3 linked regions of the Arabidopsis thaliana genome follow. The protein of the gene in region 3 interacts with the protein of the main gene of each other region in a pairwise test. Each region holds a gene or a part of one and is shown on either strand. Other genes may lie near its edges.

Region 1 (3,154 bases), on a different chromosome or scaffold from region 3:
CTTCTCCAAGATCAAACTTTGGTAAGCCTTTTACCATCTCTTTTTCAGCTAGCGATCTCAAGCCTTGATGGTTGAGATGTCCAAATCTCTTGTGCCACATATTGTTAGCTTTGCCGATCACTTGAAGGCATCTTGTTTCTTCAGTCTCCTTTGACTTTTTCACAGCTGCAAAAACCACAAACATGCGATTTTTTGTCATCGTTGAGTGCATCACCATTCTCTTCTCTGTTTTGTGCCACACTTCACACACATCACCTTCAATGATGAATCTTAACCCTTTTTGTTGTAGTTGACCCACGCTAAAGAGGTTATTCTTCAACCCTGGCACAAAGTACACATCTGAGATCACTTGAATTCTTCCATCAACTTCAAGTCTCAGCTTTCCCTTTCCTTCTACCGCCATTCTTCGATCATCTCCTAGTCTCACGTTCTGCTTAAAACCACTATCCAACTCGAGGAACCACTCTCTTGTACCGCACATGTGGTTACTGCATCCCGAGTCCAAGAACCAAATTTGTTTCTCTTCATCACCAATCTGTTCTACATGAGCCATGAGAAGCAGATCTTCCTCCATCTCAACATAATTCGCTTCTTTCTCCCAACTTGGACACTCCGCCTTGTAATGTCCCATCTTGTGGCACTTGAAACACTCTACCGTGTCTCTGTTCACATAGCCACGCCCTCTTCCTTGGTAACCCCCTCTACCTCTTCCTCGGCTTGGACTTCCTCCTCTGCCTCTTCCTCCATCCGGTCTCCATTGAGTTTCAGCTTTTAACACTCTCTCTTCCACATCATGTCTACTCAAGTTCTGCTCATGCACCATTAAAGAACTTTGAAGCCCATCCACCGTAAGCTCCTTGATGTTGTTAGACTCTTCTATAGCACACACAACGTATGTGAATTTTTCGACCAATGTTCTCAGAATTTTCTCCACTACTTTGGAGTCTGGCATGTCTTCTCCCAGATTCCGCATATCATTAGTGATTTCCATCACTCTTGAGAAGTAACCCGTGATTGTTTCTCCAATCTTCATCTCAAGAACTTCAAAGCTTCTCCGTAACCTCTGCAGTTGAGCGCTTTGAACCCTATCATTCCCTTGATATTTCCTTTTCATTGACTCCCACAAGTCCTTCGACGTCTCCTTCTGCAGAATCGTCTTGAGAATCGTCTTATCTATTGATGCAAATAGATAGTTCTTCACTTTGTGGTCCTTCACCGTCTTCTCCGCCAACTCTGTTCTTTGCGCTCCGGTGAGGATCACGTTTCTCTCCGGCCTTGGAATTCCCGTCTCAATGATATCCCACCACTCCTTTGATCTTATCAGATTCTCCATGAGCATAGCCCAATGCTCATAATCACCATCGAATTTTGGTATGATCACCGACTCCTTTTCACTCATGGTGTTTCTCTTTTGTACCAAGCTCGTGACAAGCTCTGATACCACTGTTGTTTTATCAAATCTCACTTTAAGGAAAAACAAAGATTTGCAAGAACAGATACTGAAAAACTCTTACTTGCATTGAATTCAGATTAGTCAATAAATAGACTTTACAAAGAAAGCAACTGAAGCTACGAAACTCTCGCAACTAAACTAATGTCACGATTCTTTCTCCTACAAAGGTGGAGACTTATTCAAAACTAGAAAAACCAATAAAGTTGCAGAACCAACACAAAGATGCAGGCCCAAATCCAAACCGATTGGGCTTTATTCTTCAATGACCTGTAGATACATATTTTCTACTTTCTATGGAAAAAATGGAAAACAAATTTAAAAGGACAAATATCCTTGTATTAAAGTTGGATCATCTTATTATTGAAATAAATCAAGAACTAAAGTGGGCAAAATCAGGAATTTAAAATGAATTATGATGAATAAAGAACTGTTGTATATATGTGTAATATTCTTACTTATCTCGTGAAGCTTCCTAGCTAATGATTGGCACACTTTCTTCCTAGCGAACGAGTGACAAACATTCTTGTTGTTAAAAAATGTATCAGCGACCACAAAATGATTACTTGAGAGTGAATAAGCGGAAGAGTAACTACGACCAACTAAACGCTGACTCTAACTCCGTACCTCAGCTGGCGCAAACACAACCGCGAGTGCAAGTCTACATCATAGACAAGAACGACTTCAAAAGCCTTGTTCAACAACTAACGAGTCCTCAACCATGTGACCGTTTACCTCAAAACATTCCAAAGCATCAAGATATTAGACCAGAGCCGATAAATTGGACCTCTTCGATTCCTCCCAGTGCCATGGCGGTTCAAGAGGATCCTGATGTCTCATTGTATATGGCTTATCTTCAAAGCTTACTCGAAGAATCATCAGGATCTAATGGAGACCAATTCGAAGAACCTTTTGATAAGTATCATTCTCATATGATGGCTCAATCGCAACCTCAAGATCCTACACAATCAATGCCACAGTCCAATGGTTTTGAACCTTTTCCCTCTTCCTGGTTCAATGGCTCGACCCAAGAAATGCATGGTGCTTCCTCATTGCAATCAACACGAGTTGATTATGAATATCCTCTACCACTGACTCCAAACTTCACATTTTCGTCTATGACTCAACATGAAGTTTTTGGTTCGGATCTAGATAGTATTGGTCCTGATGAGGATTTAGAATTCTCATACGAAATAAATTGATAATTTATTTTTCAATCGTGAAAAATAAATCTAAAATATAATGTTCGCATGATTTCAAATATCATAAAAATCATAATAAATTTTAATTCTTAAAACAAAATAATAAGAGTGGTTTAGAAAGATTTTATAAGCTTATGATTTGAATGTTAAAGTGGATAATTTGGCACGTTCTACTTAATATCGGTTGCCAAAAAAAAAAAAAAAACTTGTACTGTTTGGATGGTACTCACTATGAAGGTTTGTTTTGGCTTATCATTAAATTAAATAACTCTTTCTTGACAATAACATTAGCAACATTGTTCAACTGCTACCTGAAGTTAGAATCTAATCCACTACATGAAGTACAATACCAAAATACTTCTCATTTTTTGAGTCTTGTGGAAATGACCAAACTTGGTATAGTATCTAAAATCAGAAGCAAGAGACTGAAGCAACAGAGAGAGGGTAAGAGAAGCTGTTAGCATATTGAAAGGAGAGTGACTGTCCAGGACCAAGAGGTTGA
Region 2 (3,402 bases), on a different chromosome or scaffold from region 3:
AAGTGCATTGAGATATTCAAAGGTTGTATTGGTGAAAAATACAAGTTGTTTTCAAAAATCGTTTTACTTAATTTTAAATTTATTATGTTAAATATAGAAATTAAATTATTTTATGAATATACGAAATTTAAACGATTTATATACTTATCAAATCTGTTATATCAATCAAAATCGTTTTAACGTACTGCAAACTAGAATTAATTTTTAGAAAACAGAGTTGGATTATCAGTAACACTAGGTACAAACAACACATAAACGAGTTGTGTAGTATGGTAAGACCATCTGCAACCCCCATATTCATCTTTAAACTCTATTTTGAGATAATAAAAAAATTCTTCAACCTATCTTCATTTCTAACTCCAAAATAGAAATATCCAAACTTTTATTTATATTTGGAGTTGTCTTTTTTTTTTTGTTTTACAGCATATTTGGAGTTTTGTATTTTCATTTTACATCAAAATTTGGAGATTTTTATTTTCACCTCCAAAACAAAATAAGATTGGAGAAAAAACCAACTCTAAGATTAAGTTACTACTCTATTTTGGAGATGCTCTAACTAAACTCCTTCCTAGATCTAAAACTTTTTAAATTTTTAAGTAATTCACCATACCAAATCCATTTTAATTTTTCAACGTAACCCTTTAATTGAATTCAAGTGATTCGTACAAAATTCACATCATATATTGGAAGTTTTTGGAACATATTTTATTTATTTCTTCAAATATTATTAGAAAATCAATTGTAAAGTAATATTTCTAAGAAACTTGTTTTTCCCCTAAGTAACATTATGATGATCATGATTATTATCATCTTCATAATATCTAATGACTAAAAACAAGCTATATTATAAATCGAGATCTCTCATCATAAACTCTTCCAATGTTGCCGTCTCACGGTGGAAATCTTGATAATAATCCATGTGATCCAAACTTTCATCATAGCTACTATTCCCGGAGTATTCCCTCGGAAGATCTTGATCATCGTACCCGCTGCTGTAAACCGCCGAGTTAGTTTCCTCGCCTAACTGATACGACATCATTGATTCTGTACCTGACCAAGTCACGTGACGCTGCTCGTTACTCACGTGTTGGTTGACCACATGATCAAGATTGTTATTACTTCGATCGCTTGAGACTGGAAAGATAGCTTCTTTGGAGATTGTAGTGGGAGACCCGAAATCCAAAGTCACCGGACCTTTTCTGCGGTTGGATTCACCTCCGGCAGAACGTCCGGTAAATTTCTGAACTAGGGCTCGGAAATTGCTAGGGTTTGCGTTTAGGAGGGTTGTTGGTATGGCTCTCCTCGAAGCCCTAGATCTCCTTCCAGCAGCTTCATGTGCCGCGGCACCACCGTCTCCAAGGGAAGATCCCGACGATGACGCGATGTTAATGGCGTTGAAGCACGGAGTAATCTCTTGAATATTTTGTTGCTCATAGTGTTGTAACCACTGGTCTTCTCTAGAGTTGTTCATAGGGATTTTATATTTGTTTGTCAATTTTTTTTTTCTTTGGTGTAGCTTGTATACATTGCATAGGAGGTAGGATTAAGGTTTTACTTTATATGCGGGAAGGAGATGTAGCTAAGTCTTGATGGTCGTTGACGTTGACTAGTACCTTTGAGGATTTTAATATGTTTATGTACAAATAACTTCAATATAATAAATTGGGCAGTGTGTAAATCATTTGAGTGTTGAATAAGTATTTGAATTTTAAGTATTAGCATAATCTTTTTCTTAATTTAACTAATTTATGGTGTAAGAAATAGCTGAGGATTCACTAAATTGATGAAGACCAGGATTCCAAATTTTATTGTGATCATTTTATTTAATGCTAAATTGTACACTTTTGGTTATATAAAAGGTTGTTCTCTTGAGTCTTGACTTTGATGGTGGGTTTCCTAAGTGTAAGTAAGAATTTAATTGAACTAGTATAACTTTCACTACTAATTCAATTATTGTAACTTTTTCAATAGACGAAAAATAAATCATAAATCATTTTCTACTGGAAGAGAACTTGATGACATACATCCTCCAAATCAACCGTACTAAAATCAACTAAATATATCTCCCGGAATAAGTTATTCTAAAAAAGATAATAGTTTGTTTGTAACCAAAAGTTCCTAGACTAAATAAAATTAAGCTTCCATTTAGTTATTTTTATTGCTAAAAAGGAAAATATATCCAAAATGATCTATGACAATCAAACCATGTTGTTGGTTTAAACTAAATTGTAATGTATCATCTTTTTTTCCTCAGAAGTTTTATCGCATATACTAAATTAGTAATAACCGAAATGTATGTCAGGCTTCAAACTAGCTTTTCATAAGAGCGTTAACTTGTATGTAAGGTTAATTTCAATATTTTTATTTATATATGTACAAAAATATTAGTAGTTTAGGTGGATAGAGATGGAGTGATAATGAAAATAATTTTGAAAGCGAAAAATGGAGATAACGTCAAGTATGATCTTATATGAGGACTTGACTTTGATGATTTCCTGTCTCTTTGGTTCTCTTGATCGTTTACTGGTCAATGCATCTTTTGTATATTGTTTTATAAACGAATAATTTTCTCATGATTATGATTTTAAATTTGTATGATGCATTTACCAGCAATTTACCAAGTCTATGGTGATATTGATTTTTTTTTTCATCATTACAGAAGTATACAAGCTGAAAAAGAAAGCTAACACTATATATGTATTTATTAAGATAATCGATTTGAATTATCCAAATTTTACTTACTGATTCGAATCTTAACGATAGTATATGCATTTGTAGTTAATGTTTACACCCTTTCATGGTTTTTTTATTTATCAAACACTGAATTAATATTTGCTTCAGAATTAAGAAAATAAATACTGATGCAAACTCTCAATTTATAAATTTTGTTTCTGAAGATTTGATATAAAGTGTGATGATCAGCAATGACGAGAAGCTGCTTACGTCGTTATAAGTTTAAGATTATAATAAAATTAAAACCTAAATTATTCAATAATCGATTTCATCGTATAGTATATCATTCCAACGTGATTCACTTGTCCGTCGATTATTTTAAGAAAAATCACGCGTAAGTATGTATTGTCATTCTTAACAAAACCCTAAAATAAATTTAATTACCGTTAAAGAGCTGTCACTTGCCCGTCAATTAGGCGGTGGGTTGTTTATTTGATGAAGCTTCCTCCCGTTCATAAACTATATGTTATATGTGTACAATAAAAGGTATAAAATAAAATAAATACAAAGCTTGTAGTTTGTAGAAGTCACCAAAAAACACTATCATCGTATACGCCTATAATTTTGTATTATAAAATTTACTTTAATCAAAAAAGAAAGAAATATGAGGATAATTATGATATATAAACTTTGAAGGTCTACGAAAGTTGTGCACAAACTCATTAATTC
Region 3 (4,109 bases):
TTCGTAAATTGTTCGTTTGGTGTATATATGTATCGTTATAAGTTAGTTTACTTTTCAAGATTAATAGTCTTTAATTAGGTTGGGTTGGAAACTCTAAAATAGTATGAGATAAATTTCAATTGTTTCTAGCATTTAAATTTTGTATGCTCAAAGTTGCTGGAACGATATGGCAAACAGAAATAATGGAATCGAAAAAATATCGTGATATGTTAGAATAAACTGAGTAAAAGTACGTTTTTGTGAATTTTCTTTTGTCATTGTAATTTGTTTTAACAAAATACAGTATTATTCTTTTTTACGTACTAATAAGGTATATTGTTGTATATATAAAGGTCAGTAACTTGTAACTCATCTTTTTTTTTTGTTTTTTTTTCTGTTTTAGCTGATAGGTGGTTGGTGTTCATTAATAAATGTCCATATATCACTTTCAAAGCAATTCACTAAAATATAGATATGTAATTATTTTTTATTTTTTCAGATTTTCCCCTTGAAAAAGGGGTTCTTTCAATTAGAACCCCACACTAACACACTCCTTCACTTTTGGCCAGCCGCCCTTCTTTTTCAGTCTTTCAGTTTATATTTTAGCCTCTTTTTTAAAAAATACTATATTTTATTGCTTTTTCTTCTTCTTAATTACTTTAGTTAATCATAGTTAAAACACATTTTTTTGTGCAAACGTTTAAGTTTTAACACTATCTGATTTTAAACTTTTAATCATTTGCATGTAAAATCACTCAAATAGGTAATATTTATATGATTCCAGTCATGTGTTTCTTAAAAACAGAGCCACACTACATGTTTCTGTGTTTATTCTCAGTTAATTAGTTTTTATGTTTGTTTTAACACAATACAGAGAGAATATTATTGTAGTTACAAAAACAATTAAGAGTGGCACCAAGAAATTTCGTCTTACCTTTTAAGACAAGATTAAAAGACCACTTTGAAATTTTGAATCGTTGACTTAAGAATAGACTTAGCAAAAAAACTTGGTCATACATATATGATATATGTGTGGGTCAACGATTCATATATGTATGATGATACATTGCAATGTGCCAAAACTTCTGGAAGAACAAAAAACGACTAATAAGAAAAAATAAAATATATAAAATGTTGCCAACATTAAAAAACGCATTTGCTGTTTCCCATCAATATTGGAGTATAGTTTATATAAGATTTTTAACAATATTATAAGCTAGTTAATTAATAGAGTTAATCTTTGGTAAAAAAACAGACGGAATTTTATAACTTTCGAAATCATATTGATCTGCATATATATATATATATATATATATATATATATATGTGGATTCACCAGACCAGATGAGATAACCATTTTGAAGGATTTGCTAAATAAAAGTTAGGCCAAAAAGAAATCAATAAAGTTTGTGACAATATCTTTAATAGTATAATTTACATTTACATAATTCAATAAGTCAAATCTTATTGTGTCTTGGTGTGCACTGTAAAGTAAAGTCCTGTCTGCTTCAAACGCAGCATAAGCAAACTTACAACTTAAATCCTCAGCCGTTGATCCAAAGACCAAAATCCAATTATCAACGTTACCTAATGTAGACGATAAAATCTCTTAAAATGGGCCCGTAAAGCCCAAGCAAAAAAACAATTACTTTAAGTGGAAGCTCACTTTTCGCCACCCTTATTAACGTCTGTCCATACGTCATAACAGATGACGTCATCATCATATTCCTTTTTTCACACGTGGCATTGAAGCACCTTCCTAGTATCTACCCTGAAATTGCTTGACATAAGTAGTAGTTGTTTAATAATCTTTATCTCTTAATTATCCTCTTTTCTTAACAAAAACTTGTTACAATAATTTTCATTTTTATATAAATAACTGACCATTATAACTCTTTCTCTTCTCTTCTTCACTTGCTCTAGTTCTTGGATGCTTTAAACCTCTCTCTCTCTCTCTCTCAATTATTTTTTTTTCTATTTCAAAAACAAAAAAAAATGAATATCTCTCAAAACCCTAGCCCTAATTTTACGTACTTCTCCGATGAAAACTTTATTAATCCGTTTATGGATAACAACGATTTCTCAAATTTGATGTTCTTTGACATAGATGAAGGAGGTAACAATGGATTAATCGAGGAAGAGATCTCATCTCCGACAAGCATCGTTTCGTCGGAGACATTTACCGGGGAAAGCGGCGGATCCGGCAGCGCAACAACGTTGAGTAAAAAGGAATCAACGTGAGTTCCTTTTTAATTATTATTGTTGGCAAGATTCTTAACCAAGCAATTAGTATTTCATTATATATAGTTTTATTCATTAATCTTTTTGATAATAAATATTGTAGTAATAGAGGAAGTAAAGAGAGTGATCAGACGAAGGAGACGGGTCATCGAGTTGCATTTAGAACGAGATCGAAGATTGATGTGATGGATGATGGTTTTAAATGGAGGAAGTATGGCAAGAAATCTGTCAAAAACAACATTAACAAGAGGTAACTTATTCATTTACAAATTACTCATTTGATCTAATTAATATGTTTTACTAGTACTTGTTTTTAACATAACATATGGTTGCTTGATAATTTTCTATAACCATCTTGTAATCCTGTTGTTATAGAATATATAGCCACTAGCTAGCTAGACCATATAGTGATTTGAATACTATTTAATGGACCCGTATTATCTACCAACCCACTTGGAATAAAATTTAGCTTCTATATACATCATGCATGTGTGTTTTGTTTATACAAATATATAAAAGGTTCCTATAGCAAAATTGATTGATTAGTGGTATATGGATCAATGAATCCATGGTTGATAATCAGTCATCGTATAGATTTATTTTGACTCATATATCATAAGAGAAACAAATATAATGAATTCATCATCTAAACATATCACTTTCATTCAAAGCATGGTTTGAAAGCAATTTACACACTCTGTAATTGGTTAATGATATTCTTATATATATACATACATATATATATATATATATATATATATATAACTTGGTGCGATATATTATAAAAGTGATTACAATTTAACATGTGGTGGATGAATTTATAATATAAAGGAATTACTACAAATGCTCAAGTGAAGGTTGCTCGGTGAAGAAGAGGGTAGAGAGAGATGGTGACGATGCAGCTTATGTAATTACAACATATGAAGGAGTCCATAACCATGAGAGTCTCTCTAATGTCTATTACAATGAAATGGTTTTATCTTATGATCATGATAACTGGAACCAACACTCTCTTCTTCGATCTTAATCCAAATCTCTCATCCTCGTTGAGATTGTAAGATACCAACAATATTAATATTATAATCTCAATGCTTTGTATAATTTGATAGGTGTATAATAAAGGAGTTACTTATTTCGTGGTTATAAATGTTTAATGTATGTATATTGCTATGAGTACATTTTGTAGGTCACTGACTCACTAGATATAAAATCTTAAGCGTATATTTATTTAAAAAGTAGTGTTGAATTTTTTTGGGTCACGGTTGTCCAAAATACTGCGATCTGAATCCAATCCTTATTTGATTAGACTCAAGAATGATTTAGAAAAACCTGAATTACTTGTATTCTTATATCCATTATTAAACCGACATTTGACCCGAAATGCGTCAGACTAAGATTGTACCGGGAAGGAAATGTGAAAAAAGCAACTTGTAAAAAAAGCCTGTGTGACAGCTCTGTAACTTGTAAGCGTCAACGAGGTCAACTGTTTCGGTTTAGTTGTTACCGGTAATTTGGTTTATAATGGATTTTGATCGGTGTGATTTATGATCCGGTTTTGGTGCGTTGTGTAGATTGTCCCGAACCGATCTCATCTTCTACCTTTCAACAACTTAAGCAAGGAAACGAAGTCGTTTCATATCTGTTCTTCCGCCCAAATCTCAAACACTAGTAAGTAAATTCGAAGGGAGTCTTGGATCTCTCTGATCTCGATCCAGATTCTCTCTACTTCTCTTATCTTCGATAGAGAAATTTGTATCTTCAGATTTATTCGAGGAGGAAGACGAACCCTACTTGATTGATTTAGGAGGTGGAGAGATCTTTCTGAACAAGTTTGATTCTGTTGGTAATTGATCTGAAATCCTAGGTTTTAGCCGTAGATCTGCTGCTTG

Evidence for each region.
Region 1: the proteins of WRKY51 (region 3) and AT1G32585 interact in a two-hybrid assay, tested with the Arabidopsis thaliana proteins (one study listed by BioGRID).
Region 2: the proteins of WRKY51 (region 3) and AT4G20000 interact in a two-hybrid assay, tested with the Arabidopsis thaliana proteins (one study listed by BioGRID).

Annotation. Positions count from the first base shown.
Region 1 is NC_003070.9:11,788,013-11,791,166, reverse strand, and holds AT1G32585 (VQ motif-containing protein-like protein), read left to right. Parts: upstream 1-1,989; coding exon 1,990-2,652; downstream 2,653-3,154. Other genes in the region: AT1G32583 (tapetum determinant protein), read right to left, coding at 3,064-3,154. UniProt on the Arabidopsis thaliana protein: May function as negative regulator of plant defense.
Region 2 is NC_003075.7:10,836,436-10,839,837, reverse strand, and holds AT4G20000 (VQ motif-containing protein), read right to left. Parts: upstream 1,529-3,402; 5' UTR 1,472-1,528; coding exon 845-1,471; 3' UTR 503-844; downstream 1-502.
Region 3 is NC_003076.8:25,906,441-25,910,549, forward strand, and holds WRKY51 (WRKY DNA-binding protein 51), read left to right. Parts: upstream 1-1,806; 5' UTR 1,807-1,974; coding exon 1,975-2,216; intron 2,217-2,323; coding exon 2,324-2,470; intron 2,471-3,051; coding exon 3,052-3,247; 3' UTR 3,248-3,441; downstream 3,442-4,109. UniProt on the Arabidopsis thaliana protein: Transcription factor. Interacts specifically with the W box (5'-(T)TGAC[CT]-3'), a frequently occurring elicitor-responsive cis-acting element. Involved in defense responses.